Caenorhabditis elegans: one gene and its partners. The protein of the gene in region 1 purifies or fractionates together with the protein of each later gene. This does not show direct contact. Each region holds a gene or a part of one and is shown on either strand. Other genes may lie near its edges.

Region 1 (11,017 bases):
AACAGATAGACATGGGCTATAGCTTGTTAGTTGAACATTTTTTGAGAACATTTCTAGTTTCGTAGTTACACTTATTTGAAAAATTAGGGAAATTATCAAAAAAACAAAGTGGACTCATCTTTTTAGCCAGTACTGTATTTCTTTTAATTGTAACAAGGTTATTCAAAAATGCAAATTCAGATAATCGCACAAGGTATCATACTAACCTTTTTCCATGCCTCAACTTCTATCATTTACGAGTACGTTCAGTTTTTCCCGGCCCCGTGGTGGCTCATCCTTATCGCTCATATTTCCTGGCAGTTTAGCAGTGGATGTTTGGGAATTGTATATTTGACTTTGAATCGGACGATACGGAACTCTGTTGTCAAAATGATTTTTCCCAAGAAAATGCGATTATATTTTGGCTGGTACATTGGAACCGATGAGCACGTGGCTTTGGAGCAGGCGGGGAATACGCTGAAAACTGCTGGAAATGCAGTTGGAGTTGGCATCAATTTTGATAGTTATTTTCAGAATTGATTGAATATAGATTTTTACATGTTCAATATTTTCCCGAATAAAAAACATGAAATTTTTTTTTGGTTTTTTTTTTAATTTTCGGAAATCTGAAATTTCGGCAATTGTTGGTTTGTGGGAATTTGTCGGAAACCGGCAATATTGCTGGTTTCAAAAAAAAATTTGGCAATTTTTGGCAATTACGGGATTTCGGATTTTCGGCAATTTTGGCAATTTCGACAATTTCTTGTTTTTTTTCAAATTTTTGCCAACCGGCAATTTCGACAATTTTGGCAATTACTGGTTTTGATTTTATTTTTTTTCGCAATTTTGGCAATTTTGGCTTTTTTTTTATTTTTAGTAATTCGAGACGGTACTTTTCCGATTTCTGCCCCCCAAAATGTTTTCGAAAATTTCTTTTTTGAAACGTGAACTTTTTTTGTAATTTCAGGCTTATAGTAAGCCTAAAAATTGAAATACTATTGAAATAAACATTCACGTGTGAATTAAATTAAATTAAAAAATTGAAAAACATTTTTGGGGGGGGGGGGGGGGCAGAAATCGGAAAAGTACCTTCGAGACACTTCGGAAATTACCTAATTTTTTTCAGCTTTCGACAATTGCTGATTTCTTGAATTTATCAGAAATCAGCAATTTCGGCAATTTTGGCAATTTCAAGTTTTGATTTTTTTTTTCTCGCAATTTTGGCAATTTGTTGATTTTTAAGTTTCGGCAATTTCGGCATTCCTTGTTTTTTTTGGCAAATCGGCAAGCGAAATCTGTTTTTTAATACACTTTTTTGCAATTTTGGAAAAAATTTATGACAACGTGTACCTGGCCCCATTCCTCACCTCACTAAAACGTATTAAATTCATCAATAATTTCATCAAAAATACATTCCAAGGCTTCTATAGAATATACCTTGCTAGAAAGATAAATATTTGTGACGTCAGAGTAAAAATGTCTCAAAGGTGTGTTCCTCTGCCAAACATTTGACCAAAAAAAAAGCAAAATTTGCAAGATAAATAACGCATTTTATTATTTTACAACTATTTGATATGCCGGGAAGTTGAGTATAAATGCTTGTGAATATTGCTGCGTTTTCACAGAAAAAAATGAATTCCAAAAAAATGCAATTTCTCGTCGGATTTCTTCTCCAGCTTCAGCATCCCGCACTCGTTTGGTCATGCGGATCTGATATTTCAGGTTTGTTTTTGGAAAATATTAGGTGTTTTTTAAGTGCAAGGTAGTCATAATTCATGCGGCCGACACCTTGCGGGTTTTGTAAATTTTTTAAAATTGTTCCCGAAAGGTGTCGGCCGCAGCAATTTTTGATTCCCAGTAAATTCAAAATTTGACATATTCAGGTTCATCATCTGCCACTTCGGAGTTTGGTATTTCATTTTTTGCACCACTTGCCTATACGTACCCTCCAAATGAAGCTGACCTGTTTCCCGGGCAATCTTTAACTGTTGAGCAAGCAAGTCAAAAGGTGAAAACGGACTTGGACTTGGCTGTGAGTTATCGGTTTTACAAGAGGAATTATTTTAAAGAAAATACCGTTTTTCAGATATCAAAAGCTCTAACTGTCAACCAGCTTTACCTCTCAACACCTCCAACCGTCAACTTTACATTTGTCCCCCAAAAAGTGCAAATTGCCGACGGAGAAGTGTGTTTTACCGACGGAACAAGTATCGCAATTTCTGGAACAATTGTCTATAAATGTTCAATTGGAGGTGGAAGTACGGTAGCGCCGGTTTCTGGAGCCACGACACAGGTAAGGAAAATAGGCTTTCATGTAGGTGTCAAAATGCCTGCTGCGTCTGCCTTGCGCAGCAAGCCGCGCCTTCTGTATAATACGGCGCGGAACCCGAATAGTATCGGCCGCGTTGAAAAAAAACCATTTTTCGTATAGCGTAGTATAAACACCAAGCCGCTGACTTCTCGCCATAGTGCGAAAATGAGGCGAGAGACCGGCTTAAGGTCACCAGGTTTGAGGCAGGCTTCAGCTTATGAAACCGCACCTGCCTACCCTGGCAGCATTAGGCGACAGTTGGCAAATTGTTAAAAACGTGCCGAAATGGTGCCGAAATAACTAAATATCTTATGTGTTTCCCTCTTATAAAAATCCATCTAAACACTTCCGGCAAATTGATATCAGGCAAATGGCAAATCGGTAATTTGCCGGAAATAAATTTTAAAACGTGCCGAAATGGTGCCGAAATAACTAAATATCATAGTAAAACTTATCAAGAAAATTTTTAAATAATTTTTTATTTACTGTCAAAAAGTGGCAATTTCTCAGTTTTTGCCGCTTTTGGAGTCGACCAAAAAAGTTTTTTCCACCGATTTTTATACTTTAATTTAATTTAATTATTTGTGTTGAGCAATTTTAGGGGACGAAACATACGAAAAAAAATTGCTCAAAAATTTGGCAATTTGCCAAAAAAAAATTTATTTCCGGCAAATTACCGATTTGCCATTTGCCTGATATCAATTTGCCGGAAGTGTTTAGATGGATTTTTATAAGAGGGAAACACATAAATTAATGGAAAATCTAAAATTTTTTGAAATGCTTTATTATAATATTCTGTTGCCAAATTCGCGACAATTATTTCCGGAAACTTCCCTAGTTTTTAGAAGTTTGTGAGGCTTTCCAAAATTAAAAAAAAAGTTTTTTATCAAGAAAACTCCAGAAATTTCTCTAAATTTCCAAAATAGTTGTAGTATCCCTACCGTACCACTACAGTAACCCGCCACAATCCTCCCTCGAATTTTTCAGACCTTAGCTCCAACCACTGTGGCAACCACTACTAAATCCGAGGAAGACATTGTAAGCTGATTTCATCTGAAAATCCAATAAACTCTATACATTTTCAGCGCTTTAAACGTGCTCTACCGCGAGAACGTGCCGCTGCTGGGGTCAGTGCTCAGCCGTTTGTTCAATCAATGACCGTAACTGCAACTGCAAGTCAGCCACTTTTTGAGAATCAATGGAAACAAATCGGGCGGTCCGTTCAATCTGCGCTGGAGGCTAAGAAGCTGTTGTTCAACGATGAGATTTCTGTTAACTTGCTTTGAATTTTTTTTCTCAAAAAATATATGTACAATTGGAAAATTATGTAAATCAACAATAAATCAAAATAACTCTATCCACTGTGTCCTCGTGTTTTTCCATTCTTCTCGAACCGGTCGGCAAACTTGGCGCGCACAATTTCGTGGAACATCTCGTAGCACGGTCCTGAGTAGCCCTTGATTTTCTGGCGGAAGTTTCCGGCCGCGCACATTTGGTTGAACACTCTGAAAAGTACAAGTATTGCGATTGGGTAGCGGCCGACACCTCCCCGGTGTCGATTTCTATAAAATGTGCAGCCGCGAGGTGTCGGCCGCTACTTAATATAGTTTTTGAGATTTTTTTGTCCAAATTACCTTGTAATGAACCCTGAGCACTTTGGGCAAGAGCCATCGAAACAGTGGAAAGCACAGTCCTGTCGTAGGCACTTATTGATTTGGAAAATGTCTTGATTCGATTCGGCAACACATTTTAAGGCACAGTCCATCAGAGTGGGACATTCTGGAATTTTTTTAATTTTAGTACATTTTAGTCTTACATGGCCAAAGATCTTAATTGCACTATAAAAAATTTTAGATTTTTTTTTAATTTTCAGGCAAGTTTTCGGCAAATTTCAACATTTTTGGAGAATTTTTTGCATAGGTTCAGGGTTTTGAGCTTTTTTAATACATGTAATTAATTCCTAAAAAGAATATGAAAAGTTTTCTCAGAAAAATTTGAGTTTCCCACCAAAATATTTTCTCATAAAAAATTGAATTTCCCGCCAAACTTTTTTTTTCTCAGAAAATTTTAATTTCCTGCCAAAATTTTTTTCCACAAAATTTGAATTTCCTGCCAAAATGTATTTTTCAGAAATTTTGAACTTCTTGCCACAACATTTCTCAAAAAATTTGAATTTCCTTCCAACAACTTTTTTCTAGAAAATTTAAACTTCCCGCAAAAAAAAATTCTCAGAAAACTTGAATTTCCCGCCAAAAAATTTTGTCAGAAAATTTGAATTTCCCGACAAAATATGTTCTTTAAAAAATTGAACTTTCACCGAATATTTTTCTCCAAAAATTTGAATTTCCCACCAAAATATGTTCTCAATAAAAATTAAATTTCCGCCAAAAAAATTTTCTCAGAACATTTTAATCGAAACAATTTTTTTTCTTAGAAAATTTGTATTTTCCTTCAAAGTTGGTTCTCAGAAAATTTGAATTTCCCTTCAAAGTTGGTTCTCAGAAAATTTGAATTTTCATCACCCTTTGAATTGTCGGCCGCAAAGCTAACTTCCAATCAAAAAATCAAATTCGGTCCACCCAAAAAACTGACCAGCCGACGATTTCTCTCCCGACAAAATGTCGACGATTTGCAGTTTGGACGTCAAACACAACGGGCAATCGTTACACTCGTCCTGGCAACCAGTGGTAAAAATGCAACCATAGTCCGTATACTGCAACAGAAAAAAATAGGGGTTTTGGGTGTGTTCAGCGATAATGAAGACTTGATGATTGATACCTTATCAATATCGTCGTACATTTCCGCAGAGATGTTCTTGCCATCGACTAGCTTCGAGAGAACGGGCAGCTGAAAGTTTGCTAATTGGGAACACCCAAAAATCAATATATGTAATACCAGACGCTGACCGCGCCTCCGGCGCATCCAACTGGCTGGAATAAATTTCAAATACCCCTTGAAAATAACATTGAAATTTTGAAATTAATTTGATTTTTTTGAAAATGAAAACTTTCAAAGTGAGTAATTTTGCGTGTTGGCATAGCCTACATTGGACGGAAGGAAACTCTACTTTATATATAGTAAATGATGCATAATTGTTTATGTGGTTTGTAGTTTGTAGTTTGTAGTTTGTAGTTCGTAGCTTGAAGTTTTTCAAACTAGTTATATCTACTGGGAAACATAAAAATGATTTCCTTATTTTTTAGTTTGAATTTGACTAATCTCGTGATCTTGAACAGTTTCCGAGTGGTTATTCGCCCAATTGGTAATAGATTTGTGAAATTGTTTTGCCATGATTTTTGAAAAATCAATTTCCGAGAAAAAAAACCGAATGAATCATAGCAGAACGTAGAAAACAAAAAGTTAAGTTAGGTATTGCTTAATTAGGTAGACTCAAAGTTTTACAATTTCTTGCGCCAAAGATACAGTCCCGGGTTTCGACGCGACAAATTGTTGATAAACCCAAAGAGGTGTGCGCCTTTAAAGAGTATAGTACTGTAGATTAAAAATTTTGTTGTTAAGAAATTTTCTTGAATTTTGAAAGTTATCAATTTTTATAAAAGCCATTTCATTGTTTTTTAAACAAAAATTTTAAACAAAACCAAATTTGCAAGAAAACTAATAAAAATTCCACCTCAATGAGAATTTTAAATTACAGTAATCTTTAAAGGCGCATACATTTTTGTATGTAACACAAATTCGTGTCGAGACCGGGAACCGTGTTTTCACAAAATTTTGCATAGACATGCTCCAAATTACCAAGCATGGGCCTAACAACCAAAATTTCAATTTTTTAAAAATTTCGATTTGCTCTGTGGAGCGCGTTTGCATCCCTCTGGAAGCTGAACCACCATGTTTGATCTCCCGAATTTGCGGGAATTAAAAAAAAATTAAAAAGTGTTTGATAATCTTGTTTAATTCTTTCAAGCTATAATTATACAAGTCTCTAGTTTTTAGATTGATCTACAATGTGCGCTGAAATAAGTTTGACGTCACATTTTTCAGAATTTTAAATTCCCGCCAATTCGGGAAATCAAACATGGTGGTTCAGCTTCCAGGGGATGCAAAGACGCTCCACAGAACAAAGCGAAATTTTTACGGTTGCAGCAGTTGCACATCAAATGTTTCTAGATCCTGTTCTACCGTGCGAGAGGTCCTGGATTTTGCCGGCTGCGCCCTATACTTACATTCACACATTTCTTCTGAATTGAGCACTGCAACAGATCCCTGCACTGTTTGTTGAGATTTGACACGCCAAGAGTGGTGGAGACTGCCAAAATTGAAAACGCCAATAAAAAGTCGGTTATCATTTTTTGTTGCTCCCCTGGAATTGATAAGCGCTACATTGAAGCCCGGAATTTTGATTTTTTCAAAGATCAGATAAGGTGATAAGAAGGTGTGAAAATACTTTTGGAAAAGAATGGGACTAGAACGAAGTGTAACGATGACAAAATAGTTTGAAAATTTTTGGTGATTTTTTGTTTTTTAATGATAAATGCGCTACAATGAAGGAAATCGGAAAATCAAAAAAACTTCCGAAAATAGCAGGAATTTTTTTGTCTTCATCTAGAAGTTGATTAATTAAAGCTGAGCCAAAGCCTAAACCTAGGGCTAAGCCTAAGCCGGAGCCTAAGCCTAAGCCTAAGCCTGAGCCTAATCAAAAATCAAAAAACTGGAAAATCCTAAGCCTAAATAGCGTCAGTAGCTGGCTGACGCTCGCCACTGACGCCAAGCTTGATCCTAGGCCTAAACCTAAGCCTATGCCTAAGCCTAAGCCTAAGCCTAGGCCAAAACCGTTTTTCCAAAACTTTTAACCGCAATAATAATTTTTTGAGAAATTTTCAGAACATCTAATTACAAAAAGGACTAATTTCGGTCTAAAAAATCTAATTTCTGAAAAATTTAAACTGGATAAAAACAAATTCTAACAAAGTAAACAGCCCGTATTTAAAAAACAAAAAGGAACTAAAATGAGAAGAGGGAGGTTCACCTGGGGATTTTTCAATTTTTTGAAGAGAGAGAAAAAAAGAAAACAGAAATTTCCGTAAAAATGAAACAAAAAAGACGGTAGACAGAAGGAGAATGTTTTCGTTGATGGGTTTATCACAATGTCACTTTGGACTTTTTGTTTTGTTTTGTGAGTCTGTGTGTGTGGAAGTTAATTTGATACTGTTCTCCTGATATACTTTGCTGTGGAGTTTAGAAAAAGGAAATCGGATTCCAAAAACTACTTAGAAAATTGCCAAAATGACCAAATATAATAGTAAAACTTTTCAAAAAATTTTTTGAAAAAGTTTTTAAGGAGTCATAAAAAGTGGTAGGTGCCATCATAATTTTGGAAATCGCCCAAAAAAATTCTATTTGAAAAAATAATTATTTTAACATTTGAATCATCGGCAAAACGGAAATCGGCAAACCGGCAAAAAATTTGCCGAATTTGCCGGAAAAACTGCAATTGCCAGAAAATGCGGAAAATTGTGGTTTTGCACTTTTTTTTTGGAAATTTTTTAAAGAAAATTCAATGAAAATATCTAAAGAAAACGGGGAAAAAAATTTTAAACGGCACAGTTTTAAATGTTTCCGCCTTATAAAAAACCCTTTAAAAACTTCCGGCAAATTAATATTCGGCAAACCGGCATATTGGCAATTTGCCAAAAACGAGAATTTTCGGCAAATCGGCAAACCGGCAATTTGCCGAAAACAAAAATTTCCGGCAAATTGGCAAACCGGTGATTTGCTGATTTGCCGAATTTGTCGAGAAAAAAATTTGCCGAACACAATTGCAGTCCACCCCTAATTTGAATTTCGAAAAATGCTTACAATATGCAATGAAAATGTCAAATTAAATTGGAATATGGCAAAGACAACTTGAATTTTAAAAAATAAGTACACACTTCAAAATTTATAAAATTCGGTACTTATGGGTTTCGTTCCCCCCAAAATGTTCATTCAATTATTTAATACTGGATTTTTAATTTTAATCCACACGTGAAAGTTTATTTTAATACTGTTTTCATTTTCAGGCTTAGGAAACCATCTTCCTAAGCCTGAGAATGAAAAAAAAGTTCACGTCTCTATTAAAAACTATGGAAAACATACTGGGGGAACGAAACCCATAAGTACCTAAAATTCATATAATAATTTTTTTTGGCTGACTTCTAAAACTATGAGACTGATTTTCTTACCATTTTTCGGGTGCATATAAAATAATTTCAAATTTTAGTAACATATTCGTTGTATTAATAATTTTTTCCTTTCAACGATCGAAAAAAGCCGAACAATTTTATTATTATAAGTTTTTGAAAATTTTCAAAATTAGATATTTTTGCACAAAAAAAACTAGTTTTAACGCTTTAATATTTTCGAGCGCAAAACTCCAGGAACAGCAAAAAAAAATAACAAGTGATTGCATAAAAATACAAGAATCCGTCGGATATGAGTGAGAAGATAAAAATGGATATATTTTCTTTTCATTAAAGATGGCAAGAGAAACAAGATTGCATAACAAGTGGGCGCCTGATGTTTTTCGGTTGAAAAAAAAGACGGGAGGATCCAGTCTCTCATTGTGATCATTATCAGAAACACGACGACATCTTGCACGCGTTTCACGCCTTTTACGGGATCGATGATGAATGAGAGATGCATGGAGGGACGGCGGAGAGAGAGACCAGATATTGCAACATTTTTTTTTTTGAAATTATTTGAAACAAGGAACTGAATATTGAGTTTCTAGCATTTTGAGCTAGGAAAGTGTAGAACTGATATCTTTCAGATAATTTTATTCTGATCGAAAAAAATTAAAAATTTTTTAAGCCTAGTGTTTCAGATTTTTTTAAAAATATTTATCAACTTTTATAGGAGCTTATCAAATCAATTATATTGCCAAAAAAATTATTTTGTTTTAGAAAATGATTGGGGATTTCGGTCCTCGCCTAACCTAAGAATATGTCTAAGACTAAGTCTTAGCCTAAGCCTAACTAAGCCTAAATAGCGTCAGTAGCGAGCTGACGCTCGCCACAACCGAAAATTTGCAGTTTGCAACTTTATAACAATAAAGTTTTGAAAAAAGAGCTGGCGTAGACCAATCAGCAAATTACACGGTCGCCGATTGGTGGGCGCTAAATTTAAAATTTAAATACTGATGTATAACTAGATTTCCATATAAGTCAAAAAAAAAATTTTTCTAAACATTATACTACATTAAAAAACTACATTAAAAATTTGCAAAGTTTGAAACAAAAATTAAAAGCGCCAGAAAAATATTTTCAATTCAGTTTGAACGACTTTCTACTGCAAAAGTAAAATAAGTTGTATCTATCCGATTGGTTTTTTTTATTTGAACAAAACTTCTGAACGAATTCTTGTAGGCTACAAATTAGAAACAATGTTTCTTGGTAATGGGTGTACTTTAGATTCAAAATTTTCAGAAGGAAAATAAGGTTTTTGTTATAAAAAAATCTCCCACAAAATTATTGCATTTTAATGAAACATACAGAATTTCTCTAGGAATAATTAAGCAAAAATCATTATTTCTTTTTGTCTAGATAATTGCCTTTGTGTGTAGTTTGGTGATATGCCGATTCGGTTTTGGAATCAACAAAGGAATCAAGGTTGACTGTTTGGCGTTTTGATCTATCTGATTGTATAATTGGAAAAGTTCAGAAAGTGAAAAAAGAATAGTCAGAATCACATTTTTACGAAAAATTCAAATTGTTTCCAAACCAGGGGCTTGCGGCAAATTTTTTCGAACTTCCAGGGCACAGCAAATTTCAGAAAATGGATTTTGAAATTTGCCGTACACACCCCAAATTGGACAAAAAATGGCTCAAAATATTGATTTTGTTCCAAAAAATTCAAGTGAAACAACATAAAATTGAGTTAAAGTTTGAATTCCAATAGTTTCCCCAATAGTTTTTCGAACACTCTGAAAATGAAATTTTTCAAATTGGCAGAATTTTTAAAGCACTTTTTGATAGTTCTACAGAAATTTTGATGCATTTTTAAAATTTTAAACAAATTTGGAAAATTCTACAAACATCTACGGGTATAAAATATTTTCAAAGTTTCTAGAATTTTGTATAAAGCGCTCTCTCATCTCTGCATTGTCTCTGCACATGTCTATATCCTTGGATGGTCCCTCGATGTTTTCACACAAACAAATGTCCCCTTTGCATATCTTTTATCGTCGCGCACTCTCTCATATATAAACTCTCTTTTCACCTGTGTCTCACAGTCGGCATGTGACTGTAACGTTGGACCTACCACTACTAATAACGAACATCGACAGTTTTGCATTTTCGGAATTAAACACCCTAACAAATTTTCTGTTTTTGATAAAATCTGATTCCGAAAATTAGGGCTTCGATTCCGTCATATAAATTTAATTTTGATCTACCATTATCATCATTTGATCTACCCACAAATTTAGTTTTGATCTACCTTTGTTGATCTCCCCGCGTATATTTGTATTTTACTTTCCTTTGATTCCCCGCGTATATTTCCCCTATCCAAGGCAATGATTAGCTCATGCCTTGACTTTTCTGCTGGCTTCAGTGACAGTTTACCCCTTTTTTTTTCCTACTTTGTCTTTTTTCCTACTTTGTCTTTTGCCTCATATTTCTCTCTTGTTCCCGCCTATTAGTATTCTAATAATATATGTTCTACATACTCTCACTTTCATAATTCAAGCCGAAAAATTATTTTAAAACATCGTTTTTCATTCAAATAGTG
Region 2 (9,359 bases), 9.6 Mb from region 1:
ACTTTGTGTTGAATACTCGAAATCAGAATCTGGCCCACCGGGACAATAGACACAAATGTTTCCAGTGAAATTGATGTGAGGACAACGATGTGGTTTGCTCATCACTGCTACAACAGCAATTCCAGAAGCAGTTCGAACTGGTTTTGCCTTGAGTTTTGGAAGAAGGCTGTCTTTGTAATCGGACGGAACTCCAGCGATAATGTCAACGAGTTTCGGTTGAAAACTCAGTCCATTCTTTTGAGCAACCTGAAAATATTTATTGAAATGTGTTTTACCGCCTAACCACATACGATGCATTTCAGCCGATTCAAGTTGACATCCTTTTTTTGATTGTGAGCTTCAATAAGAAGCTTGACAATTTCATTTATTGTTTGTGCCAGTAGTGCTCTTTGTGAACCCTTCTGATCCATCTGAATACAGTTTTGATACATTTCCTATTCAAATTGATGTTTTAGATATAAATTGGAATATTAACCGACAATGAACTCAAAAATCGCTTTCAAGATGACCAGTGTATTTCAAACTTAGAAATTTCGATATACATAAATAGAACACAGACCGAGAAGTGATCATGAAAGTTGGGTGTTGAATATAATAAAGCGGAAAAATTATTTGTTGAGATTCAATGGAAAATGGTCACTGGGTGACGTGTCAGAAAAATACCGGAATAAATATGAAATAAAATATATGGTGGATCATACATACAAATCGAATTCATAGAACACTTATACATTGAGAACATGATTATGGCCAAGTTGGGGCTGCAATTGGAATCCTGGAAATGGTTTGAACGCCATTCTTCTCGAGGTCATCGTAGTTATTGTTAATGAATTGATCAATCAAAAAGTGGATTGCGTCGCGAACTTCGGAAACTTGACCACGCATTATATCGATGCATGCCAACCTAATTCTGGTGCCAGGAACAGTGCTCATCGAGATACGCAACTCCGCAATATCTTCTTCGTAATCGTACTTGTCACTGCACATAACATCAATCTGGAGAGGCGTCAAATCGTGACGAGAGTTTTTCAAAGCGCGTTTCGTATTGCGACGTCCAACCCAAGCTCTTGAAGTTACAAGGAAAATGGCACCCTGAAATTAATAGTAGTTGTAAACGTCACATTCTTTCTATTCTATAGAACTAACCGTTGGAGTACATAAATCAACAACACTGGGTCCTTGCTCATTCGGACAGACATTAAAGCGAAGAACTCTAGTAAGAAGGAGGAAAAGATCACTCGAGGTTATCACCACGGCTGGAAGTTGTACTGACAAGTACTGGTGCTCGGCTCCATCAGTTACTCTAGTTGATATACTGATTTTTGGCTCTCTGCTCTTCATAAGCATAGTAGCCATCGTGTTGGTTTCCAGAAGATAGTTGATGTGAAAATGATTTTGTTTCAACTGAAAATATAACTTTTAATCCATAAACAATCAAAATAATGCTTACAATGAAAAGAGCGTTCCGAATAAGACCATTTAGTAGTTTGACCGCGTCTTCTGTTACTTTTGCCGAAATATTATGAGTAATATCCATGGGATCCATCAACATCAACGGAGATTCTTCAACGCCTCCGTGCGCACTTGAGAGTGTTTTTCTAAAAAAAAATATACAAATTAGTTGTGAGAAATTAGTTTTTAACTTACTTTTGCATCGCTTTCTTCCCGTAAATCGCTTTGTTCGTAAAATCAAAGTTGGCATAGTATTTGAAAAGCTCTCGGAAAAACTTGCAATAATCGCCGAACAGAGTGTCAAAGTTGTATTCATTGACTCGAGAATCTCGCTTTGCTTGAGGATTCACATGAACCTTGTTGGTTGCTGCTTGAACAAAATGAATAACGAGCTGATTGATGATGTAAGAGTTCAGCTTTGTCTTGACTTCAAGCTTCTCTTCCTAAAATAATGAAGTTTAAGAACTGCCTAATTCAATATATAATTACCGGATAGTCACCCGATAGCAACTTATTTGATTTTGCCCAGTGTACGATGAACATCATTGCATTTTTCATTCTACTTCCCTTCGACTTGTCTTTTACGATGAATTCATGCAACAAGCTCGCCTTCTCAACACTGATTTGATTGTGAACTGATAGATCGTATGACACCTGAAATGAATGAATTATCAATGTTTGAAAGCGTCAACATACATTCATTCCTTCCACTTCGATATTTTTGAAGACTATGATTGGAGTGCGTGCAGGTAAGAAACGCATCTCGAATTTAGTTTTGAATGCACTGTTCTCGTTGAAGCACCGGTAGAGAATTTTGATAATTTCCTCTTGTGGGTATGTCTCAAGCTCCGATTTGGTTAGTGGATGAGTGATGAGACACTGTAATTGTATATTGTTTCAGGACAATTTACAGTAATTTTTGTACCTTTGGATTTGCCACAACTTCGTTCAATGGTCTTACATTTGTAGAAACGCGTTGACCTGGAGCGCTGACTGATTCCACGTTAATGTCCTAAAAACATTATTGTTTCTTAATAAAATAAAATAAAATTATTTTTCTAACAACTTACAATGTCTGAGTAACCATTTCGCCGCACCGGTGATGCAAAAGAGCCGAACATCTCACAAGCAGAATTTTGAATGAGCTCAGAAACCCCTTGTTCAATGAAGGAAAATCCATCTTCGAGAATTTTTAAGCGTTCAGGAAGTTCTTGACAGATAGCCATTGTCAACACTTCCAAAAGCTCGTCGTTATTGAAGTGCGGTTGCGAAGTTTTCATGAAATCAATGGCATCTTGAAGTCTGAATCCGTTCAAGCCTAGAAGGGGAGTGAACACGATTTTCGTCTGAAAATAAAAGGAATTGTATACAATCAGCTAAAAATAATTATTTACATTGTTGATTGCAAATCCTTTAGCGATGGAATCGTGGCAAATCCTGTTGGCTTCATCTATTGATTCCATTTGCAATATCATAAACTGATCTTGATCTTCAGGTGTTGGAGAGTATCCTATTTTCTCCTAAACGGTTTAATTTCAAATGCTTGTTTTCACAGCATAACAATATTTTTTACCTTACAACCAAGTTTATACTCAACCGACTCCACGAAGACAACGACAGCAATTGCAGAAGGAACCATAGCTGTCGTATCATTTCGATTCCAACGAGCAACAACGAATTGACGACTATCAAACGTTTCAACCAGTTGCAAGTTTGAAGACATTATCGCATAACTGAAATATCTGGAAAAATATATAATTTTAGGTAAACAAAGAGGATGGAGAATGGAATCATGCGTTGCCATGGAATCGAATACACTAGGGAATCTTCGTCGAAAATTCGAGCAAAACAATTTTCATTATAATAAACAACACATTGCATTTTGTTATAGGTTACAAATTAATTGGAACGTGCGCATTCAGGGATTTAAATTTTGCGTTTATCAGAATAATAATAAAAAAAGAGTAACAAATTTTAAATAGATTCGCGCAATAAAAAAGTTTTTCGAAAAATGACTGAAAAACTGAGTTGATAAACTACACGCGCATCGTTATATCGGAGTGTCGTAAGTGGCGGATTTTCAAATAAATTTTTATTGACAAATTTTAGTTGTGGACCTAGTACTAGTATGTATTTGTCTAGTAAGTTTTCTCTGCATTGCCTTTCTAAAGGGAAAAAGTTGTTTTTAAAAAAAATTATTAAATAAATTTTATAAAATTGTCTTAGAAATTATTTGCATTGATTGATCAGAATCCTTCTAATCAACCAAAACTTATGCCTGCTTAAAAATTATAAACATCATTCCATAAACATCGGTCTTTCAAAGATTGAATTTGAATTAATAATATTTTTTATTTGGAATTGAGTTCGTCTACAAACGAAAAAATAAACGGAAATTCGATTCTGATTGCTGGGATTCGAATAAAAGGACAAGCATAACATAAATCGGAAATCGAATTTAGTATATAAATGTAAAAATATCAAAAATGTACAAAGATGTTCCTTTTGGTTATATTTATTCTACACTATGTGCTCGCTTTTCTCGGAATTGTTTTCAATACGATTTTGATTTTTCTAACTTTATTCAGAAGCCCTAAATCTATTGGAACATTTTCTATATTATTGACTGTCAGAGGTGGATCTGATGCACTTGCTTGTTTTTTTGATATTTTCAGTCAATCAAGGTAATTTCCAAATTTTATTTTGCATTTCCTAGCAATGCACCATGTTCTCGATATGCTCTAGTTTCTTCCAATAATGTCAAAATTAAGCAGGGCCGTTTTCATGTTTTCCACGCTTATATATAATTCATGAGATTACACTTTCAAAAAAGAACCCAAATTTTTTCTTTATACTCCAATGGCGAGTTGAGCTATATATAATTAATTTCAGATTAATCCCAAGTGGTACAACACTTGGAATTGCTTCAACTGGACTTTGCAAATATCTCAGTGAATGGTCTTGTTTTCTGGGTTTCAGTCTTCAACTTCATTTTCATTCATATTCTTTTCATCTTCTAATTCTCTGTTTTATATTCCGATGTTATGTTCTTCTGGAAAGATATCCAAAAGCTAAACAGCTTATCATTTTAATTTGCATTATATACTTCCCATCATACTTGCAAGCAATTTTCGTATTCATTGATAACAACAAGCCAGAAGATGTTCGACAACTTATTCAAATTCATCATTCTCAATATAAATTACAAGATTTTGTTATAAATGGACATGCTGATCTTCGAGAATTTCCGTGTTTGTTTTCATATCTTCTAATGCTTATTCCAATTATCCCTGGATATTTGATTATGTATGGGCTCCGCCGAAAAATACACTTCAAGTTACGAAATGCAATTCTCCGTCCGGAAATTCGAGAAAAACATAGACAGCTGACTTGGGTTAGTCTGAAAATGTAAATTATTTTGAAATATGATTTATTGCAGGCACTGACAGTTCAGACTATTGTTCCAATTGCTTTTATATTCTCATCAATTTGTTTCCTACTTGGTCAGCTGAGGATCGTTGAATCTCCAGTTCTTGAAAGTTTCACACTTCTTTTTGCCGTTTTGGTTCCCGTTATCAATCCATTGATTACCGTTACTTTTATCAAACCGTATCGAGAATCTGTCATGAGAGCAGTTGGAATTGATCCTAAAATTTTGATTTTCATGTCACGAGAATGTTCTGTTGCACCTGGTGATACAAATTCTTCAATGTTTGGTAGTTTTGATAATTCATCAGTTGCATCAGTTACATCAAAATTCACAATTACATTGGAGAAAGGCACATTTGACTGAATATTCCAATTAAACTTTTTAAAAAGTATTTTTCATCCACCTTGTGAAAACGACTCATTTGATCTCAGTGATGATCATGTTTTCTATTTTATAAAAATTTTATTGGATGAACTTATTATTTACATTTGATTTAAACAATTATAAGGACACTTGACACATGAATTCGATTTTGATTATTACTGTTTGATGTTCGTTCTCCGGGAAGAAATGAGCGGAATGAGAAGAAATTGGGTCATTGGTTTTAGATTATGGATACAGTAATAGAGAGCCAGATGAGCACCTGAGCACAAGTTGAAAATTGAGGAAAGAGTATTTTAAAATTCAAAGACCAAAAATGAAAGAAATTTAATTTTTGAAGAAATAAACGGCAAACAATGTCATAATAGAGACAGTAAGTTTAACGAGTGATGATGAATTGCAAAGATCTCCACGGCAACAGCAGGCCTTATCGGTGTTAGTTCCAACGCATCCATTTTGCTGAAATAATTAGTAATTTGATAAATATGGTTTTCTTTCTCAAAATTAGAATTTCTCTGAGCCAAGAGATGAATTCCACAGGTAAAAATAAAAACTTACAATGCAAAGGTTAGAGGATCCACAGGCTCTTCCTGAGACGAAAGTTTTGTCATTGTTAAAATCTCTGGATTCCAAATAGCTTTTGTAACAATATTGAGCGTCAGCTGGGCAGTCGACCTATAAATATTGGCATGAATTATTTGTTTTGATGAGCTGGAAGTTTCATTTTTATTTTCAAGCCAAGATGTCCACTTTTGGCACGCAGGTATGTCAGCAGGCGTCCGTGCCTGCATATCACCTTGAGCTCTAGCGAGTTTATACAGTGATAATTTAGATTAATAACTTTTTTTCATCTTTAAAACCGGATAAAGTTTGAAGCTAGTGGCGTTCAAATAATGAAAAATGTTCTTACTAATGGGCTATCATAAGTAAATTCGTGTTTTTTCAACTACTTCCAGCAATATGGATAATTTGACTATTAACTCATTGCTTATCTCGTTTAAAATCTTACCCATGTCTTCATTGGATTCTTCATCAAATTGGTGCTTGTGTAATCATGGCACCGAAGTGTATCGGCATATGGGAAAATGCAGAAAAGAGCAGAAATTGTGAAAATAGCAAACGACGAGGTCATGGTTATAATCGACAACGAACTGACTGTAATGTAAAAGTAAAATAAAAGATTCAGAGGGGTGGGATTATTGGGTAGGTCGTTGACTTCTCCACCTCTTTTCGTTTGTTTGTTTGCGCAGCCTGTAAATTGTAAACTTGTAGGTAGAGAAGCAAAGGTAGAGGAGGAAAAGAAAATAGAAAAAGAGCGAAATATTTAGAGAATCTCCGCAATCTGCCAAAAGGTGTGAAAAGTAGAGAACAAGGCGAATAATGTTGATCTTCTCAATTATTTGCGTATTACTCATTGGTTGTCAAGTGTACCGGGTCATTTTGGCATTTTTCATCGGACTTTCAAGAACTTTAAAGGGAAGTATCAAGAAAAAACGAAATATACAAAAAGATGGATGATGAGTAAACAAGGCATTTGGGCAAGAACTTTGAGACAAGCAAAGAGTCTAAAAAGTTGCGAAACAATTGTTTAGTGAACGTTGTAGATCTGTTAGAAGTGTTTTTGTAATAAATATTTAGCTTCTTGATCATATTTGCGGATTTTTAAAAATTCAAAAACAAACTTGCCAAATAACTATTTGTTGCAAGTTACGTAGATAAAAGTAGTAATGACCTCGTTGGCAGCAACTTTTCATTTATAACTTGGCATTGAGCTATCTAAAAATAGAGTTGGCACACTTCTTTAGTTTTGTTATTTGCTAAATCAAAAGCTTATTCTGACTCAAATTATATCAACTTCATTTTAATCAGAGACTGGAATCTCACTTACATCCAATTAGATCAGATGCAACATTGTATATGTACGATGCGTTTTTATCGAAAACACCAGTAAAGAATTTCTGATATTGGAAGTAATATTGATAAAGACTGAGAAGTCAAGGTTTGAAATCTCGTCTGAAGCGAATATGTCAAAATTGTTTAAATTTTTGAAAACTGGAATTAAAAATTCACACAACAACTTTTTTAAAACTTTCAAATGTCTTGAATAAAATCTTAAAACCTGCAAAAAATGATGACAAAACTATTTTGAGTTTGCATTCAATAGTTTCAATGAGTTGTTTTTCACAAGATTACAGTTGTATTTACAATCAATCAAATGCCACGTAATGGATGAAAAATTTAGAAGGTCAAGAAAAGATCATTGTAAGTTCATATCAACATTTACTTTTTTGGCACATTTTTTTGTTTGCCAATCCCAATGAAAAACCGTGTCATGCTTGGATATGAAATTGAAAAGAGACTTGGCATTGGAAAAACTACTGCTCTTCAAATTGTTTATTTCAAATTTCGTCATTTTTCTGGATCTTTTTTTTTGTTTTTTTCACGAGTAAAAAACAAACAATTCGGAGAAAAGTTCAGACAACAGTCTACTATTTTTGTGATCAAATTTTGTAGATTTTATTTATTTGTTCAATTATTTGTAGACCAAGTAAAATGTTTTCCAGATACCAATTGTACATGTATTCCTAATCACATTAGAAGGTTTTCTATCTTTTCCCCTAAGCCACAAAAATAGATCAGTGCTATCACGAGAGAACAAACAAAATCAGCCGCCGATATATATTGAATTTGATTTATCTGCGATGGTGCTCCCAAACATTTACCATCGACTTTGTCAGGTTGTCAATAAAACTGTTTTAATATGAAAGTAACTGAAGAAAAACGAGAGAAAAAGAGCACATGAAATTTGGATTCGCGCGTGCTCACGCGTTGAGCAACAATTTTTTGTTTGCTGATATTCTTGAAGAAAATGAAAAAGTAAGAACACAAGTTTGTTCTGTTAAATAGACATTTGGACAAAACCTGATTAAAAATACATTGTCAAAAAGACAAGTGGCGCGCAAATTTTGATCTTTCATTAATGTATAGACTTTAGCAAGTATATAGACTCTAGCTTGAAATTGCTGAAACATTGTACAATGATAAAATTGAACTGTAAAAACTGACAATGGGAAATGGTTTCCAAAATTTTCAGCGGTGAATATCGGTAAAAATCTTCATTATTTTTTTACATTTTTTTTTCAGAAAATATAGAGTTCAATTTTTTAAACTGCAATGATCAAAAGTTACATCTCTGTAATTAATATGAAAATGCTTAACTAATGTCTGTTGCTTTTTCACAAAGAGATTCGTTCCAGTTTATGTTGTTTTTTTAAGACATATACCGAACAATTTTAAATGTAAGGTATCGACAGTTTGATCAAATTTTGGTAAGTGTCAGTTTGATTTTTTGAATAAACTTCTAAACGAAACTGCCTTTCTCAAGCGAAACTTTATCAAGCAAATGACCAAAAGGAGAGTAATTAGACAGTTTTAACGGTTCAATATTAAAACGTAAAAATTTTCAAAAAAAAGTGAGATGAGGATGAGGGAAAAGTTGAAAAGTTCCTATCCGTTAGTAATTCGATACTTTAACTTTTCTACTAAACGAAAAAATGAGAAGATGTTTGGTGTATTCTGCTTTCAAAAATTGTGTTGTAAGCTTTCGGGTAAAGTAAAAGTAAAGTGGGTTATGTATAATTCATCTCTAAAAAAGAGGTTAAATTTACAATGAACACCAGAATTTTTATATTGATTGTGCACCGTTCGGATTCTGAAAATTAAAGAAATTGACCGAATATTTTTAGAGAAAATATGATTCAGTTGTAGTTGTTTTGTCAAATAGTCAAGTAAATGATACAAATCCAGAAAACTCCAATTACCAACGAACAAGATATTCCAACAAAAATTGTTTTATTTACAGTAAAAAAGATAAGGAAAAAGAGTTATCTAAATCTTAAGGTACATTGACCAAAATTTTATGTTCTAATTATGTTTTCATTGTTTTAACTTAAACTTAATTTAAACTGTTTTAATTTAATTGTAGGGATTCGAATATTCGAGACAGCTCCAAATTTCTTGACAATCCCAATTTTTCAAAAGTTTGCCAATTTACCAAAACTTCACAAACAAATTCAAAAGTGTCTTATCTAGATTT
Region 3 (10,609 bases), on another chromosome or scaffold:
CGTCTTCTTCCCATCTCCTCGTGTGCCATTCCTCATCCCCATCCAAGTGTAGAACACCATATGGTGGATACATTGAATGAGCCACCACACCGCCTTTTCCGTCGAATTCCTGTGAAAAATTGAGTTTTTTTTTTGTTTTGCAGAAAATCTACGATGGAACCATCACCAGACGGTCAACTCGAGATAATCGCAAATTCAGGGGCAAAATCAGTGATTTGGGAAGGTAAAATTCAAAATTTTAGGTTCCTGGGGGTTTTATGGCAACGCGGGTTCGATTCCAGCAGTTTTCAAGCTTAAGACTCGATTTTCAGCAAATTTGATTGAAAATTCGGGTTAAATCTCATAAGTTTTGGTGGGAAAAGCACTGAAAATCTCAAATTTCGTGGTAGAATCGAATTTAAAGATCTAGGTGAAATCCATAAGTTTTAATGGCAAACCATTGAAAAATTCCAAATTCCGCCTAAAAATATCTCAGCTCAACAGTTTTTCGGTCCAAATTTCTAGTTTCAGCAAGTTTTACTCAAAATTCAACTAAACTTTCCACCGAAAAGCCGAAATTCGGATCTCAATTTGCAAAATTTGAAATTTCCGCCAAATTTTGAGCCTCTCCAACAAAAGCTCAAGTTTCTAAACTGAATTTTCTAGTTCGGATCCAAAATTCCGATTTCTGGCTAAAACTTGATCCGACTGAAAATCTAGATCTTTCACTGAAAATCTCAAATTTCGTTGTAGAATCGAATTTCAGCAAGTTTGGCTAGAAATCTAGGTGAAATCGATAAGTTTTAATGGAAATCCATTAAAAAATTCAAATCCCGCCTAAAAGTATCTCAGCTCAACAGTTTTCCGGCCCAAATTTCTAGTTTCGGCAAGTTTTGCTCAAAATTCGACTAGACTTCCCACCGAAAAGCCGAAATTTGGAATCATTTTGCAAAATTTGAAATTTCCGCCAAATTTTGAGCCTCTCCAACAAAAGCTCCGGTTACTAGACTCAATTTACCAGTTTGGATCAAAATTTTGGATTTCTGGCTAAAACTTGATCCGACAAAAAGGTTAGATCTTTCACTGAAAAACTCAAATTTTGTGGTAGAATCGAATTTCACCGAGCTTGACTGAAGATCTAGTCTAGGCGAAATCCATTAGTTTTAATGGAAAACCATTGAAAAATTTCAATTTCTGACTGAAAATTTCTTAGTTCGGCAGTTTTCCGGTTCAACTTTCGAATTTTACACTAGTTTCAGCGCTTTTGGCTGAAAATTTGGAGCATTTTCACCGAAAAAAACCGAAATTTGAACATTCCGTCAAATTTTGAGTCTTTGAGGAGCTCTCTCCAATAAAAACTCCGATTTCTAAACTGAATTTTCCAGTTTGGCTCCAAATTTCCGGCTCCTGAGCAGAATTTCTAAGTTTTAGACTAAAATTCGACCTACCTCGTAGCAAGAATGATTCTTTTTCGCGAAAAGCACCGTAATATCGGCTGCATCCACCACAGGAACCTCCTCGAACTCGACGAGCCCTTCCAAAGCGATCGCCCATCGTGCGACGGCTTCTTGTACGGTTAACCTGGAATTTTGAGAGAGTTTCATGGAATTGCCCCTCAAAGTTTGATCTACCTGACTCCCTGGAACTGATGGGCAGTCAGAAGCCGGAAGGGATCAGAAAATGACCAGGTGATCCTTCGGTGACTCCAACGGCGCAGGGTTCGGCATTCTGGAAGTTAGAGGATCAGAGTAGAAGCTTGGGTTGCAATTTTGAGCCGAGTGTGCCGGCAATGAATTGTGATTCAAAAAAACTTCAGATTTTCTGAATTTTATCAGAAATCTGTAAAAAACGAGTAAAAACTTGCAAAAACCCCGGAAAACTCCGATTTTTGACAATTTCACGAAGAATTTTGTGTACAGCACGATTTTCAACAGAAATTGTGACAGAATCTCTAATTTCTAGACTAAAATCTGTGGAAGCTTCACCTACCACTGACACGAAGATCTAGCAGAAGAATCAGCGGAACCAAATAATCGGAAAGTTTCATTTTTTGAAATCGTCTGCTTCTTCATCTGATCTCTTCTTCCTCGAAATGATAGCATAGTGGAGATATAAAAAACGAGGCAGCAGAAGAAGAAGAAGAAGCCGTTATGCTTCTCGTTCCTCCTCCCCCACATATGTTATCAAATGTTTTTCTCATTTTTCTCATCGTCGATGCATTATAAGATGTGTCTTGATAATTCCTGATTGTTTAATGAGAGAATCTCTCGCCTTTTTAATGGTCGTTGCGCAAGAAACCAGCTTCTCGGATGGGATAAGCGGTGGCGATTAGTTGAGAGAAGTCGTTGAAAAAGACAAACTATGGACGAAAAGTTTGGAGGAGAAGCTGTGATTGGTGGTAGAGTTAATGATTGATGGCCTGCTCTACAACTTTCTTTGATGCTTTTCACTTTTTTTTCTAAGTGAAACGTTTTTACTGGGATTCAAACTGGGAACATTTGCATTCTCAATCGAAATATGTGGATTCCTACCAAAATTGGACGTTGGCACGTGGTGCCAGATTGTCCCATGTTAGTTTGATCTACGAAAAGGACGGGAATTTTTTGCACAAGAAAATGTGACCAGCACGTTCTTCCCAGCGAAATCATTATGAGAACTCTGCGTCTCAAGCCCAAAGTTTTTTGTAGATATCCGTTGATCAAACCGAAATGGGACACTCTGACACCACGTGGACGTTCACACGTCCGATTGTCTCATTTTGGTTTGATCTACGTTGATCTTCAAGAAAGACGGGAGAAGAAATGCAGTTGACTTCTCAACTGATTTCGCATGGTTAAGAGCTTACGTCACATTTTTTTTTGGCAAAAAATTTACGCATTTTTTGTAGATCAAACCGCAATGGGACAGCCTGACACCACATGCGTTCAGAAGTCAAAAGTTGAGCTTCTAAACTGTGATTTTAAAGGAGTTAGAGCTAAATTAGAGCAAAGTTGAGCTGTTGAACGAAATGTTGAGGATCCAAACCAAATTTAGAAGTTCCTAGCTAAAATTAGAGCATCGAAATTCAATTCGGCAGGCGAAATACTAGTTTTTCTACAAAAATTGAATTTTCTGAGCTTTTGAGCTAGATTCCGGCATCTGAGCCAATTTTTGAGCTTCTGAACGATTATTTTTTCAAAAAAGTTTATTTCTTCAAGTTTCAAAATCCAATAATAATAAAAAACGAAACAATGATTATCTACAACTTGCAATGCGGTGATCCAATAATATCAATTAAGTTAGCACTGGCGAAGATGTTCGCCGGATCCAGCTCACTCTTGATAGCCTTCAACAACGCAATTCCGACTGCTCCGTTCGTGGTCAGCATCCATTGTTTTCTGATCTTTCCGACTCCGTGGTGATGTGAGATGCTTCCACCGCAAGCGATGATCTCGTCACGGGCGGCTGTCTGGAAATAAGGGCAATTCCGAGATCAGGGGCGTTTTATCGAAAGCTTACCTCAATACGATCATAAACTTCTAGGCCATTTTTCAATCCTCTGGCGTTGAATCCGAAATAGAAGTACACACAGGCTCCGGCATCGTAAACCTGGGTGACTCTGCAGTTCGCTAAAACTGGATGCGTGACTCCCTGAGCTTTTGCCTCGCGTTTCATCAGCTCCTTGACATTCCTGCAAAGGCTGAGAACCTTATCCCATGGAACTGAGGTTTCGAACGACTCGCCGAGCACACCATGGTTCATTCCAAGGTCCTGAAACGATTTAATTCAAAATTTGATCTACCCGTCGGCTCCAACTCACTCTCAAGTAGGCGATAGCAAAAGTAAGCCGATATCCATATTGACCATTCTCGGCGCCTCCGACAACTCCGTGGAACTGCTCGGCCAATTTATTCAGCCTCTCCTCATGCTGATCGACTTCTTCGCGATTTCCCTCATAGACACACGTGGCCGCACAAATCTCGTCGACCTTGAAACCCTTCCACGATGTGATGTACATCTTGCTCACGGAGCTCTTCAAGTCAGCCCACCAAGAATCTGAAGCCACCTTCAACGCTTGTCCCATAACGAATTGATCGTTGTCCATAAGACGAAGGGATGCTGGTTGACAGCGTTGAATGGCAACCTCGCGGAAGAAGTTGACTCCGCTCTCGAAGTTCGGGAACACGAAGCTTCCGAATCTCTTGACCTCTGGGATTGGGAAGATCTTGATTGTGACTTCGGACACCACTCCCAACGTTCCCTCGGACCCCAGAATGATTTGATGGATGTCTGGTCCGGATGACATTCTTGGGACTTGGCATTGCTTCTGGATGATTCCTTTTGGACAGACGAAGTTCAGATGGACGACGAGGTCTTCGATGTTTCCGTATCTGGAATTTGTTGTAAATTTGTACAGTATTATCGAAAAAATACGATCGCACAAATTTCTCATAATTCATTTTTGATCTACCTGTTGAACTTGACTCCGCCCCCCCCCCCCCAAACTTGTTGCCGTTGTTATTTTGTTATGGCTGTCTTGTCGAAGGAAGGGGCGGAGTCAAGTTCAACAGGTAGATCAAAAATAAATTATGAGAAAATTGTGCGATCGTATTTTTTCGATAACACGAAAGGAATTAACCCGAAATTTTGTGGTTTTTATGCCAAAAATACCATCGTGTCAAAACTGGAGTACCGTATTTGCGGACAGCAATACAGAAATTCGGGAAATCTTTGAGTTTTTCAACCGAAAATAGACAAAAATTCGAGTTTTTTGCTTGTTTTTTGAGTTTACAACTTGAAAAATCATAATAACCAACTTGTTCTTCTTCATTCCACTGGCTCTAGTCGAAACCCATCCTCCGAGAGTAGAAAATTCGATGGAATCCGGTTCATGTCCACATGTGAATCCCTTCTTGTTCAACTGACGCTCCAACGATTGCCCGACAATTCCAGCTTGAGCTCGGCAAGTCAAATTCTCTCGATCAATCCAGAGAATCTTGTCAAGAAGTGCCATATCCATAGAGATCACAGCTCGTTTTTCGGTTTCTGGGGTATCCAGAGCGTTTGTGACAGAGGTACCACCTCCGATTGGGATGATCGCGCAGTTATGGCTCATTGCTCCTTCGATGATCTTAACAATCTCATGCTCGCTTTTCGGCCAGACAACGATATCCGGAAGTCTCGGGATCTTTCCCTCTCTCAAATTGATCATGTCGTGAACTGTATGCCCATGACCTCTCATCAATCTGATTCTTGCCTCATTCGAGAAGGAAATCTTGTTTTCCTGCAGGAACTCAATGATATCCTCATTTTCGACAGGGGCATCGATGATCACGTCCGAAAGCTTCTGGGCTGGGCTTACGAAGCCTAGATCGATGCCCAAGTAGTTCTCGAACCACGGGCGGAAGTGTGGCATCACTTTTCCGGAGATTTCGTATCTGGAATTAGAAATTGATACACTCAAAATAAAAAAAAACTGCGTGGCGTGTACGCAGAAAACTCGAAAATTAGGCCCCGTCTTTTTCTCGTCTACTCACGGGAAAAGGCAAAATTCGGGACCAACCAATATCAGGCCGCCGACATCTGACGAGTTCCGCGCGCCGCTGCGCTTAACTCGCTATGGGCGTGGCGAGCTGTCTCCGCCCGCTGCGAGTTAAACATAGCAGCGCGCGGAATCCGTGAGATGTCGGCGGCCCGATATTGGTTGGGGTCCCGAATTTTGCCTTTTCCCCGTGAGTAGACGAGAAAAAGGCGGGGCCTAAATTTTGGGTTTTCTGCGTACACGCCACGCAGTTGTTTTTTATTTTTAGTGTAAGTTGGAGCTTGAAAATTCAACAAGTTCAGCCAACTCCCGGCTTAAATCTGCTCAAATCCCTTGAAATCTCACTTATCCCCGGTAAAAGTGACATGTCCGTCCTTGTTAATCGCAAACTGTGAATCGCTGTACCCCCAGCCATTCCACTTGAGGATTTTGTCGCTGTAAATTGAAATGCTTCAAAAAAAAAGAGTGACAGTGTAGGAGGTTACCGATAAGATTGCGGCACGTCGTGCTCGATTGTTTGATAGGACGCCGACATTTATTGCAAGTCGAGTGGCGAAGATCTGAATCGAACCGAGATCGTGAATTTCTGAGTTCGTGGGAAGTGGGGTTTCATACGGAACCTAAGTACAATCACGAGAAGCTTCAGGTGCTCAACCGATCATATGTTAGTTTAATCTTATCATGGTTGTGATTAAGTGTACCGGAGGCATGATGGTGGTCAACAATAGAATTTTCCATTTGATTCTCTAATTTTGTGGAAATTTTAGACTTGCAAAGCCTAAAAATACCTGAAAGCTTGGGAAAACTAGCTCTAGAAGGGGAAAAACTTCTACCTATAACGGAAAATAGGTAGCAATTTCAATTTTAAGCAGAAATACCAATTTGGCTGCTGTCAAAAGTTTGGAGACTGTGATGTCAGAGTGTCTCATTTCGGTTTGATCTACGTTGATCTACAAAAAAACGCGGGAGAATTGACGCAGAGTTCTCAACTTATTTGGCATGATTAAAAGCATGCTGACGTCACATTTTTTAGACAAAAAGTTCCCGCATTTTTTGTAGATCAAAACGTAATGGGACAGCCTGGCATCACCTGACGACTCCTAGAAACTGTGCGGAAAAAGTTGCCTTAATCGTTGAAAAGGCTTTAACTTAACATTTTGAGCATCAAAGCTTGAGACCTAACAAAATTTTTCAAAGAAAATGAGATTTTTTCTGAAAAAATAATCTTTGAACACAAAATTAGTCCAATTAGAGTTAGGCCAAAACTTAAAAAGAGAGAATTTTTCAACTGAAATTCAAAAATATTCAAAAATATTCAACAATAAACCCAAAATCAAATAAAAATCAATCAAACTCGCACTCCTCCGTACTTGCCTACAATAGAGCGTCGTGCAAGTGGTATATGTGTACACCTTATCACCTCTTTCTGTCTTCAAACCCCCCTCACTCACCCGCTTATCACCAACACAGACAAAGTACGCCAGCAGCAGATTAAAATCGTTTTCTTTTCCGCTTTCGAACAGGAATTGTCTTTCGGAAAAGCGAGAAGTTTCATATTTTCAGATCGAATCGCCGAGTTTGGTTATGAGAAATATTTTTTACGACTTCCGGAGCCAGCGCTGAACAAGGTTCTGCGATATTTGAGGTAGTCGGAAGCCCAGCTGCCAACTCCTAAATTCCAGATTCCAGATATCCCGACCTGCAAACCCTCAAATCGATATGCCCGGAGCTCACCGACTTGTGCGATTTACACGTGAAGCTCATGGATCACAGCGAGTTCTATACTCACCCTAAATTCCAGTTCGAGCGTTGCTCCCCGGATGATGAGGAGGAGGAGGTGGTGGCTGGAAGGATCAGAAGCCCCAGAACCTCATCGTCAAGTGGACAGCTGGACAAGGTTGCCGACGAGTTTGTGGTGAAGGATGTGGAGATCATGTCGGAGAGGCAGAACGCGTGTGCCACATATTTTGAGCCTACTAGATCGCTTTATCTGTTTGGTGGAGAGGTAAAATCGATGAAGATAGACAAACTTTGAGATTAAGCCGATTAAGCTTAGCGGCCTAAGCCTAAGGACTAAGCTTAAGGATCTAGGCTATTCCTAACGTTGGTTTAGCATTCTAAGCCTAAGGAGCTAAGGCTATGGACCTGCGGCTTAGAACCTAAGGACCCAAGACTATGGGCCTAACAAGGATCCTAGGAACTGTAGTCTCGGTACCTGAGCCTTTGGACCAAAGTCTAAGGAAATGAGGTAAACCTTAGGACCAGAGCCTATGAACCTGAACCTAATCAGCTAATCCTATTTTTCTAAGTCTGAGGAGCTAAGCCTTTGGCCTTGAGCCTATGGATCGAAGCTGTTTGTTCCAAGTTTTATTTTTAAGGGCTTCAGTGTATGGACCGAGGTCTGTGGAGCTAAGCCTACAGATCTAAGCGTTGCGATCTTAGTTTAAGATCCTAAGCCTTGAGACCTAAGTCTTTGGACCTAAGCCTTTGGACTTCAGTCTGAGGACCTAAGGGCCTCAGCCTATTCTCTAAGGTTTTTGATCCAAAAATAAAAATAAAAACTGAGCCAACAGTGTTGTATGCTTATCAATTTCTCTTCCAGGCCATCGATGGAGATGAGCATACCCCCGGTGCCGTATTCAATGACCTTTGGAGGCTGGACACGGCAACATTGAAATGGTCGCGAGTGATAATCTCATCTGCACCATATCCATCGGCAATGTGCTACGCGTCACTTGTCACGTGGGGTGTAAGTGAAATAAAGATGAGCAAAACGTGTTGTGCCACGTGGTTTCAGAGTGCCCCATTTTGGTGTGATCTACGTAGATCTACAAAAAATGCGTTCTCAACTGATTTCGCATGGTTGAGAGCGTGCTGACGTTACATTTTTTGGCAAAAAAATCCCGCGTTTTTTGTAGATCACATCGTCATGGGACAGCCTGACACAACGTCTTGTGCATTATTTAAGTGTAAATGAAACTCATCACTATTGGGAACATATATTACCGGTACAGAGAGAGTGTAGATTGTTAGAGAGTGACAGACATCCGGGACCCAAAGGGGCGGGGCACGGGAAGAGACGATTTGTGTCGATTTACAGAGTTTTCCTCGTTGTCATAATTTCGTAAATCGGCACAAATCGTCTCTTCCCGCGCCCCGCCCCTTTTGGTCCCGGATGTCTGTCACTCGCTAACAATCTACACTCTCTGTACCGGTAATAGTAAAAATTGTTATTGTTTTTAATATTGTAGTAGTAATTTAGTTTCTCAGGAACCTATTCGCATAGTTTAAATATGCATAGCACATCATTATTTGAGACATTTTGGCCCCTTCACCTGCAAAATAGCATTAAGGAATCAATTTTTCCGTGTTACAACGTGCTACATCGTGTTTGTGTTTCCGATTATTTCAAATATTGTCCATTGTTTCGTAGTTTGATGTTTCTTCGTTTTTCTCTAATGTTTGAACATCATTTTTCTTTTTCACTATTCAGCAAAGTCAGTTCCTCCATAATTCTGCCAAGCAGCCTCTAATAAATGCCGAGTGTACAGACTCCGCCCCTTTTTCGCGTTTTTTTTGGCTTGCGAAAAAATGTCCCACTTCGTTTTCATTCACAACTCCTGAACCGTGTGACTTCATGCTCTAATATTTGAAATCCTACTAGAAATATTTTGCCCCACGGTGGAGCAGAAAACGGCATTAAGTTCGGAGCAAAATTGAGCCCAGGACGGCTTTCCCCAGTTTGAAAAAATTTTTTGTTGCTCTTTTTACCCCCAAAAAACCATGTTTTAATTGAATTAAAATTCGGGTTTTGCTCTGTTTTGTTTCAAACTCATGTGCAAGATACTACTCAGAGAAACTGATTTTTTGAAAAAAAGTTTGAGTTCATAAGTGCAAATGGAAAAAAGTTGTGATAAAACAAAAGGCCAAAAAATGACATTTTGCCAAAAAAATTTTTTTTCCGAAAAAGTAGTTTTTCGTCATTATCTCAAGTTCTACTTCATCTTTTTTGATATTTTTTTTGTTCACCCCACGTACAAAAGTACGCTGAACACGATTTTCAACTCAGAATTGGAAAAAGCTCTATGAGTCGGCCGAGCAAGACGAATAAGTGCCACATTTTGCACACTTTCCCATTTTCGCGAATCTACTTTTTCCATCATAACTCGGTCAGTTTTCAAGTTTTCTTAGTTTTCTAAAAAATGACGTGTAGGTCTCATCAAGACGCATCGAGACATATAAAATTTGTAAAAAGTTCAGTGGGAAAATTTTTCAAGAAAAAAATAATTCAAAAATTTAGTACTGGGGGGAGTGGTTTCCTGGGTCTCCTGAACATTTTTTCCACTAAAGTTTTGCGGAATGTATTTTTGATTCATAGTTTCTGATTTTATTTGATGGAAGATGAAGTTTCGTCGCATTAGAAATACTCTGCCAAGAGATATTATTTTTATTAATTTTCAGGCCAAAACTTGTTTTTTTCTATACATCTGTCTGTGTACAAGATATAGCCCTCAACTGTACGTCTCCTTTTTGGGAAATCAATAATGAGTACAATCCTGTAATAAAATTTTCAAAAATTCGTTTTCCCGCTGACATATCAGTAATAAACGGTTTTCGAACGCCTTTTCTCAAAATGTAATTATTGAAGAAAGCGGAATCGAAAAACGACTCCCTCCAGAAATTTCCCTTCCCTACATCCCAGTTTTAGGTGTTTTCGGCATGGCCGAGTGGTTAGTGCGTATGATTGCAGAAATTTTGGTAGTTGGTTCAATTCTACCAAGTGACAAATTTTTTTGTTTTTTGTGAGTAATCGGGATTCGAATAGAAATATTCAATTTTATACAAAATATGGGTACGTCTCTCCCCATATAAAACCTCCTCAAACTTCAATCAATCAAAACTCAGCTTTAACTGATTCATCGGGTGCATCTGTTTTTGGTCAAACCGAACTCAAAAAACAAGAAGACTCCCATTGACCTACTGAAATTTTCACGAACCCTCTAACAGGTTCGAGGCGAAGCCGAGTGCCTACGCCCGGCAAGGGGACTCGCCTTACACCCCCTACAACTGGCGGGCCCGCAGGGCCCGCTAGTCTAGGAGGTCTAAAAA

Evidence for each region.
Region 2: the proteins of C29G2.6 (region 1) and usip-1 fractionate together in Caenorhabditis elegans (co-fractionation; one large-scale study listed by BioGRID). This does not show direct contact.
Region 3: the proteins of C29G2.6 (region 1) and ads-1 fractionate together in Caenorhabditis elegans (co-fractionation; one large-scale study listed by BioGRID). This does not show direct contact.

Annotation. Positions count from the first base shown.
Region 1 is NC_003283.11:2,579,298-2,590,314, forward strand, and holds C29G2.6 (dct-5 family protein), read right to left. Parts: upstream 6,612-11,017; 5' UTR 6,598-6,611; coding exon 6,475-6,597; intron 5,138-6,474; coding exon 5,069-5,137; intron 5,004-5,068; coding exon 4,883-5,003; intron 4,070-4,882; coding exon 3,925-4,069; intron 3,796-3,924; coding exon 3,645-3,795; 3' UTR 3,577-3,644; downstream 1-3,576. Other genes in the region: srt-4 (Serpentine Receptor, class T), read left to right, coding at 181-519; C29G2.3 (DUF5683 domain-containing protein), read left to right, coding at 1,611-1,701, 1,863-2,011, 2,066-2,272, 3,278-3,328, 3,376-3,576.
Region 2 is NC_003283.11:12,181,001-12,190,359, forward strand, and holds usip-1 (U6 snRNA-specific terminal uridylyltransferase), read right to left. Parts: upstream 3,195-9,359; 5' UTR 3,176-3,194; coding exon 3,026-3,175; intron 2,973-3,025; coding exon 2,847-2,972; intron 2,799-2,846; coding exon 2,523-2,798; intron 2,465-2,522; coding exon 2,378-2,464; intron 2,332-2,377; coding exon 2,149-2,331; intron 2,107-2,148; coding exon 1,942-2,106; intron 1,896-1,941; coding exon 1,648-1,895; intron 1,599-1,647; coding exon 1,451-1,598; intron 1,405-1,450; coding exon 1,147-1,404; intron 1,093-1,146; coding exon 745-1,092; 3' UTR 501-744; downstream 1-500. Other genes in the region: elpc-3 (Elongator complex protein 3), read right to left, coding at 1-246, 291-410; srd-4 (G protein-coupled receptor), read left to right, coding at 3,949-4,136, 4,345-4,846, 4,892-5,245; ZK863.8 (UPAR/Ly6 domain-containing protein), read right to left, coding at 5,591-5,722, 5,822-5,938, 6,273-6,395. UniProt on the Caenorhabditis elegans protein: Acts as a specific terminal uridylyltransferase for U6 snRNA. Responsible for the addition of UTP at the 3' end of U6 snRNA which stabilizes U6 snRNA. Does not have activity towards modified uridine containing 3'-monophosphorylation or 2'-O-methylation.
Region 3 is NC_003281.10:292,497-303,105, forward strand, and holds ads-1 (Alkyldihydroxyacetonephosphate synthase), read right to left. Parts: upstream 6,061-10,609; 5' UTR 6,036-6,060; coding exon 5,986-6,035; intron 5,936-5,985; coding exon 5,846-5,935; intron 5,397-5,845; coding exon 4,776-5,396; intron 4,713-4,775; exon of another isoform or gene 4,620-4,712; intron 4,350-4,619; coding exon 3,779-4,349; intron 3,730-3,778; coding exon 3,478-3,729; intron 3,428-3,477; coding exon 3,218-3,427; 3' UTR 3,158-3,217; downstream 1-3,157. Other genes in the region: Y50D7A.13 (Peptidase metallopeptidase domain-containing protein), read right to left, coding at 1-109, 1,428-1,560, 1,611-1,707, 1,969-2,026; Y50D7A.1 (F-box domain-containing protein), read left to right, coding at 154-223, 7,064-7,145, 7,190-7,505, 8,103-8,249. UniProt on the Caenorhabditis elegans protein: Catalyzes the exchange of an acyl for a long-chain alkyl group and the formation of the ether bond in the biosynthesis of ether phospholipids.